Macaca mulatta: one gene and its partner. The protein of the gene in region 1 binds, or shares a complex with, the protein of each later gene. Links are inferred from orthologs where the notes say so. Each region holds a gene or a part of one and is shown on either strand. Other genes may lie near its edges.

Region 1 (3,500 bases):
TAAAAAATTAGCTGGGTGTGCTGGCGCACACCTGTGGTCCTAGCTACTCAGGAGGATGAGTAGCTTCCCATCATACCACAGCTACCTCATTTTTGTTTTATTAACAGCATTATTATTCAGGTGCCATATAATGCACCATTTTATTTTTTATATATTTTTTAGAGATGGTGGGGTCTTGCTATGTTGCCCAGCCTGGTCTTGAACCCCTGGGCTCAAGCGATAGTCTCAGCCTCCTAAAGTGTTGGGATTACAGGCATGAACCACCATGCCCAGCCAAATCCACCACTTTATTTTATTTTTAAAATTTATTTTATTTATTTATTTATGATGGAGTCTTACTCTGTTGCCCAGGCTGGAATGCAGTGATGCTATCTCGGATCACCACAACCTCTGCCTCCTGGGTTCAAGCAGTTATCTGCCTCAGCCTCCGAGTAACTGGGATTACAGGCATGCGCCACCACGCCTGGCTAATTTTTTATTTTTAGTAGAGATGAGGTTTCACCATTTGGCCAGTCTGGCCTTGAACTCCTGACCTCGTGATCCACCCACCTCGGCCTCCCAAAGTGCTGAGATTACAGGCGTGAGCCACTGTGCCAGGCCAAATTTATTTTTGAGACAGAGTCTCACTCTGTTGCCCAGGCTGGAGTATAGTGGTGCAGTTTTGGCTCACTGCAACCTCTGCCTCCCAAGTTCAAGCAATTCTCCTGCCTGGGCCTTCCAAGTAGCTGGGATTACAGGCACATACCACCATGCCCAGCTAATTTTTGTATTTTTAGTAGAGCTGGGGTGTCACTATGTTGGCTAGGCTGGTCTTGAACTCCTGACCTCAGGTGATCTGCTTGCCTCGGCCTCCGAAAGTGCTGGGATTACAGGCTTGCGTCATGGTGCCCGGCCTGAATACACCATTTTAAAGCGTAGCATTGGGTAATTTGTAGTATATTCACAAGATTGTGCAACCATCCCCACTCTGCCAGAACAGTTTCATCTCCCCAAAAGGAACCCCACATTTCTTAGTTGTCACCCACAATCTCACACTCCCCCCAGCGCCCGGCAGCCACGAGTCTCCTTTCTGTCTCTGTGGATGTGTCTGTTCTGGACATTGCATGTGAGTGGAATCGTGCACTCTGTGGCTTTCGTGTCTGGCTTCCTTCACTCAGCGTGACGTTTTCCAGGCTCATCTGTGGGGTGGCAAATGGCAGAGCTGCGTTCCTTTCCATGACTGAGTGATCCTCTGTTGGATGGATAAGGCCACATTTCATTTGTCTGTTCATCCGTGGATGGATATTTGGGTTGTTTCCACTTTTTGGCTATTTTGAATATAGTGCTGCTGTGAATATTCATCCATGTACAAATTTTTATGGGGATTTATGTTCTAGGAGTAGAATTGCCAGGTGGCACAGCAGCTCCCTGTTTCAGGTCTGAGGAACTACTAGGCTGTTTTGCTTGTTTCCTCTTCCCACCCACAGTGTATGAGGGCTCCACATTTTCCACATCCTCACCAACACTTGTTATTGTCTGTGGTTTGTTCAAATTATAACTACGCTGGTGGGTGTGAAGCAGTATCTCATTGTAGTTTTGATTTGTATTTCCCCGTGACTGCTGATGTTGCACTCTTTTCTATGTGCTTATTGGCCATCTGTGTATCTTTCTAGAAGAAATGTCTGTTTAGGTCCTTTGCTTATTTTTTAAAATCAAATTACTATTTTTTGAGTTCTCTATATATTCTGGATGCAAGACCCTTATCTGACACATGACTTGCAAATATTCTCTCATTTGTGGTGTGTCTTTTCACCTTATTTATGATACCATTTGCAGGACAAAAGTTTTTTTTTTTTTCTTTTTGAGACGGAGTCTCGCTCTGTCGCCCAAGCTGGAGTGCAGTGGCGCGATCTCCACTCACTGCAAGCTCCGCCTCCCGGGTTCACGCCATTCTCCTGTCTCAGCCTCCCGAGTAGCTGGGACTACAGGCGCCCGCCACCACGCCCAGCTAATTTTTGTATTTTTAGTAGAGACGGGGTTTCACTGTGTTAGCCAGGATAGTCTCGATCTCCTGACCTCATGATCCGCCCGTCTCGGCCTCCCAAAGTGCTGGGATTACAGGTGTAAGCCACTGTGCCCAGCAGGACAAAAGTTTTTATTTTTATTTTTATTTTTTTTTTGAGACAGGGTCTCACTCTGTCACTCAGGCTGGAGTGAAGTTGTGTGATCATGGCTCACTGCAACCTTGAACTCCTGGGCTCAAGTGATTTTCCCACCTCAGCCTCCTGAGTTGCTGGGACCTCAGGCCCACGCCAGTATGCCAGGCCAATTTTTGTATTTTTTGTAAAGGTGGGGTTTCGCCATGTTGCCCAGGCTGGTCCTAAACTCCTGGGCTGAAGCAATCCTCCCACCTCAGCCTCCCAAAGTCCTGGGATCACAGGCATGAGCCACCATGCCTGGCTAAAAGTTTTACATTTTGATGAAGTCTAATTTGTCTGTTTTGCTTTGGTGTCTTATCTAAGAAACTACTGTCTAATCCAAGGTCATGAAGATTTACTCCAATGTTTTCTTCTGAAAGTCTGTAATTTGAGCTCTTCTTGCCTCTTCATTTTGGATGTGTTGGTTCAGATGCATTTTCATCTTCAGGGTGGAAACATCTACAGGCTTCCCCATCCAGTGAAGGAAGAGAACGTGGCAGGCGGAGGGTAAGTTAAGAAGCCCCCAATCCTGCATGCACCCCGACAGGAGTCCTCTGGCCTTCCTGTGCTGGCCCTGGACAAGTGAGTGGGGAGGATGCTCTCAGTCCTAATGGGATTAGGGTACAGCCTCCATTTTGTAGGGTTTATCAAGAGTAGTCAGGCTGGGCACGGTGGCTCATGCCTGTAATCCCAGCATTTCAGGAGGCCGAGGAAGGGGGATCATTTGAGGTCAGTAATTTGAGTCCAGCCTAGCCAACATGGTGAAACTCTGTCTCTACTAGAAATACAAAAATTAGCCATGTATAGTGGCACACACCTGTAATCTTAGCTACTTGGGAGGCTGAGGCACAAAAATCACTTGAACCCTAGAAGCAGAGGTTACAGTGAGCCGAGATAGTGCCACTGCACTCCAGCCTGGGCAACAGAGTGAGACTCTATCTCCAAAAAAAAAAGAAAAAAAAAGAGTAGTCAGTGGATTGGAGTTATAGACAAAAAAGATAAAAAAACCAAAGAATCAGTGATCAAGGATGGAGTCTCAATCTCCCACCCTTCTTTCCTGCCATGTCTACCTACAGTAACCAGCAAAATGGCGGTTCCACAGACTGGACGGAGCCCAGGAGCACTTTCATCTGCAAGAACTGCAGCCAGATGTTTTATACGGAGAAAGGACTGAGCAGCCACATGTGTTTTCACAGCGACCAGTGGCCGTCACCTCGAGGGAAGCAGGAACCGCAGGTGAAGGGGGACGACCAGTGGCTTTGTGGTTACTGGGTTTCTGGCAGGCCTGTGGGGAGTAAACGAGACTGGTGTCACTTATCTCAG
Region 2 (4,044 bases), on another chromosome or scaffold:
GACACTTCAAGCTACCAACCAGACCAGGACTTAATAAAGCACAGCTTGTTGAGGTATATATGATTTTTAAACTATTTGAACTATGCACAACCGAGAGGCTGTTAAATGCTAATGAAAGTATTAATGTAGTATATGTAACAGTACATTTAACAGTACATTTTATTTAGAAAGAACAATGTTAAAAAATCTATTGTGGAAGAATCTAGTTGTCTAGAAATGTTTGTCAGCCACTTAGGAAATTCCTTTTTGTAATGACTACTCAGCAGGTTGTGTACAGCACCTTCTGATACTGGCTTTCAAAATGTGTTGTTTGTTTTTTGAGACAAAGTCTCGCTCTGTCACCCAGGCTGGAGTGCAGTGGCACGATCTCGGCTCATGGCAACCTCTACCTCCCAGGTTCAAGCAATTCTCCAGCCTCAGCCTCCCAAGCAGCTGGGACTTCAGGTGTGCACCACCACACCAGGCTGATTTTTGTGTAATATCTTTAGTAGAGATGGGGTTTCACCATGTTGGCCAGACTTGTCTCAAATTCCTGACTTCAAGTGATCCGCCCACCTCAGCCTACCAGAGTGCTGGGATCAGCAGTGTGAGCCACCGTGCCTGGCCCTCAAAATGTTGAATGAGAGTTTTTTTTAATCCTCACTTTAGAAATCTATTAGTTTTAAAACTCCATTTAACCAGTAAATGTTTGAGCATCTAATTGAGGCATAATAAATTTAATTAGCAAGCTTTAATGTCCTTATTAAAATTTATATTTTAAAGTGGTGGAGTAGGCCTACAAATCAGCCCCTAAACAGTATTTTTATAATTTGCTGACTTAACTATTTCAAAATTGGTCCTTGTTGATGTTAGTTTTATTAGAGACATCTATGTTTTCTTCACATCTAGAAGAGGCAAAAGCTTTTCTTTTACCCAATCTTTTACTTGTAGTTTGCTTTGACAGAGGACTTCTAGTTAGTCAGTGAGTTGTGAAAGTTAATGGAGTATGCATATGTTCTCAGGATATAATAGAACCAAGAAGTCTGTGCATCTTATTAAGATGCTTATAGATTGATATATTTATATTTTAATCATATTTAAAATTTTTGCTTGCAGCTACTCAGGAGGATTGATTAATCCTAGGAGTTTGAGTCACCATGGGCAACATAGCAACACTCCATCTCTAAAAAAGAAAATTTAGCCTACTAGACAAAATAGAAGTGTAGATATATAAATCGGTTTTCTCATATTCTTTGCATGGATTTAGTAGTTACCCAACATTTTCTAAAATGTACAACATTTCATTGAATAAAATGAAATATGAATAGAAGTTACATTTATCTGATGGAACGCTTTTTAACATTGTTAAAATCTAATACATTAACTATTTAGCTAAAATTTCTTATCCTTGGTTAGGCAACACGGATCTAATTAATTTTTCTTTAATTTTGATTTAAAAGATCAAGTTCTTTTGGGGTTGTACAATACATTATGTAACGTAAATATAGATCTTGCCCACCATGATGAAATATTTCAGTAGGTACTAATGGAGTGAAGGCACCCCTGTTTTGGAACAAATGAGAACCAAAGAACTAATTATTTTAAATGTTACATTTAGGTATAAATTAAACCTGAAATTTTTGATAAACTGACCTTCTAAGAACAGTTATATTATTTCTAGAGCTATTTTCTTTTTTATACATAAGAGATAGCCATGAGTGTTATATTTTACTTAATCAGAAATGCAGTTATTAACAGGTTAAGGAATGTGGAAATGTGCAGATGTAGTACATATATTTTAAGACAGGGGTCCCCAACCCCGGGGCCATGGACTGGTACTGGTTGATGGCCTGTTAGGAACAGGTCCACAGAGCAGGAGGTGAGCACCAGCTAGCAAGAATTACTGCCTGAGCTCCGCCTCCTGTCAGATCAGCCGTAGCATTAGATTCTCACAGGAGTCCAAAACCACGTGTGAAGTGCACATGTGAGGGATCTAGGTTGTACGCTTGTTATAAGAATCTAATGCCTGATGATCTGAGGTGGAACAATTTCATACCAAAACCAACTCCCCCACCCCCAATCTGTGCAAAAATTGCCTTCCGTGAAATCGATCTCTGGTGCCAAAAAGGTTGGGGACCACTGTTTTAAGGGATTCCAGGGTTGTATGACTAAGTCTTAAGTCTCGTAATTGTTGTGTGGATGAACTTTTTTCTTAAGAAATTCTATTTTCTGGAATCTAAATATGCTTGTCAGCACCTCAGGTAAGTCTATTAATCTTCTATTCGTAATTGTAGTATGCATATTACATTAGCACAATGAAAAGGCAAGGAAGCAGGTAAACATCCTTCATTGAACATCCCTCTTTCTCCTCTCATTTCCATTCACAATTTTTATTCAGAAAAATTTTCAAGGAACCTTAACCAAAGAATGCTACCAAGATACGAATGAATGAATGTAATTTGCAGCAAATAATTTATATGTTATTGTTGATTACTACCAAAAGTTTTCAACTTCATACTTCTTTTTCTATCAGTAGGGTCTAAACCATTGCAGGTTTAATGATGCATGTGGTCTCTTACATCTGTTTTATCTCATTTAAAGTTTAAAAGTAAAAACATGTATTCCCTACTCTAGATTCCAATTATAAAATTTATTATTTTTATCTTATTTATCTTTTTTGAGACAGAGTCTTGCTCTGTCACCCAGGCTGGAGTCCAGTGGCGTGATCTCAGCTCACTGCAACCTCCACCTTCTGGGTTCAAGCAATCCTCCCATCTCAGCCTTCTGAATAGCTAGGATTACAGGTGTACACCACCACGCCTACTTAATTTTTGTATTTTTTTTTGGTAGAGATGGGGTTTTGTCATGTTGCGCAGGCTGGTCTTGAACTCCTGGGCTCAAGTGATCCCCCTACCTCCGCCTCCCAAAGTGCTGGGATTACAGGTGTGAGCCACCACTCCTGGCCCAATTATAAAATTTAAAATAAATAAAAGGAAAATGTATTTTCTAATCAATGTATAGTAAATTGAGTGAGCCAAAAGGTCCTTTGAAATCACATTATCTCTTGTTCATAACATTTTATTCTTAAATGCTTTTTGTCCTGTTGGTATTTTCTTAAATATAATTTTTAAAGGAAATAGCTCTTATCACATAGATTTTTTCTTTGGATGAAACCGTATTTTTTACCTAGTTTATGAAACCTGTTATATCTAAAATTTAATTTCCTTAATTTTTTTTTTTTTCTTTATAGATAGTTGGTTGCCACTTTAGGTCTATTCCAGTGAATGAAAAAGACACCTTAACATATTTCATCTACTCAGTGAAGAATGACAAGAACAAATCAGATGTCAAGGTTGATAGTGGTGTTCACTAGGAGACGTGGAATTGAGACTAATAACTTGGATGATAACACTGTTTACTGTTTTTTCACATGTAGAAATGTTCTTTGTGTATTTTTTCTACAGAGGATTTTCTCTGATTTTATTTTCTTTGTTTCTGACTCTAATAATTAGTTGGAAACTCATGTAAAATGAGCTTTCCTAAATTAAAAACTATTTTAAATAAAGGTTATTACTATTATAGTTGCTTCAGTGTATTTATTTTGTGAAACTTGATTTTTCTTTTAAACTGACTTAGAGATCAGTATTGATATTTTAATGTAAAGTCCTTCATTTTATAACCCCCTTTTTTTTTTTTTTGTAAACTTCCAAGAAATTAACAGGGTAAGGAGAAGTAACAAATGTAGCACATTTGCATTCTCTGGGACAATCTGACTTGGAATTGAAGATATTTTAAATAGCATTATTTTTTTTAAGTGCTTTATAATGCTAGCAAATTTGAAAAATAAGCTTCTATTGGAATACAACTTCTTTTTTATTTCCTTTTTTTTTTTGTTATTATTACTTGATGAAGTACTAGGAAGAACAAATGGTTTAATTTATATACCCACCTCGTTCCAAAGACAACTTAATGTGCCAGTGAAGATAAACACAATGCTGAAAGTCGAAATAAGAACATGAAATGAAATAGCTGTTTTTGAAAATTTTGTCTTTGGGAAAAGATATT

Evidence for each region. The genes of interacting proteins can lie anywhere in the genome.
Region 2: ZNF541 (region 1) and SAP30 share a complex: the UniProt entries of both Homo sapiens proteins name them as parts of the histone deacetylase complex. The link is inferred for Macaca mulatta from reciprocal best matches to the Homo sapiens genes ZNF541 and SAP30.

What each region holds. Positions count from the first base shown.
Region 1 is NC_133424.1:60,038,023-60,041,522, reverse strand, and holds part of ZNF541 (zinc finger protein 541), read left to right. Parts: intron 1-2,625; coding exon 2,626-2,684; intron 2,685-3,253; coding exon 3,254-3,413; intron 3,414-3,500. UniProt on the Homo sapiens protein: Transcription regulator which is essential for male fertility and for the completion of meiotic prophase in spermatocytes.
Region 2 is NC_133410.1:181,805,840-181,809,883, forward strand, and holds the end of SAP30 (histone deacetylase complex subunit SAP30), read left to right. Parts: coding exon 1-53; intron 54-3,229; coding exon 3,230-3,352; 3' UTR 3,353-3,544; downstream 3,545-4,044. UniProt on the Homo sapiens protein: Involved in the functional recruitment of the Sin3-histone deacetylase complex (HDAC) to a specific subset of N-CoR corepressor complexes. Capable of transcription repression by N-CoR.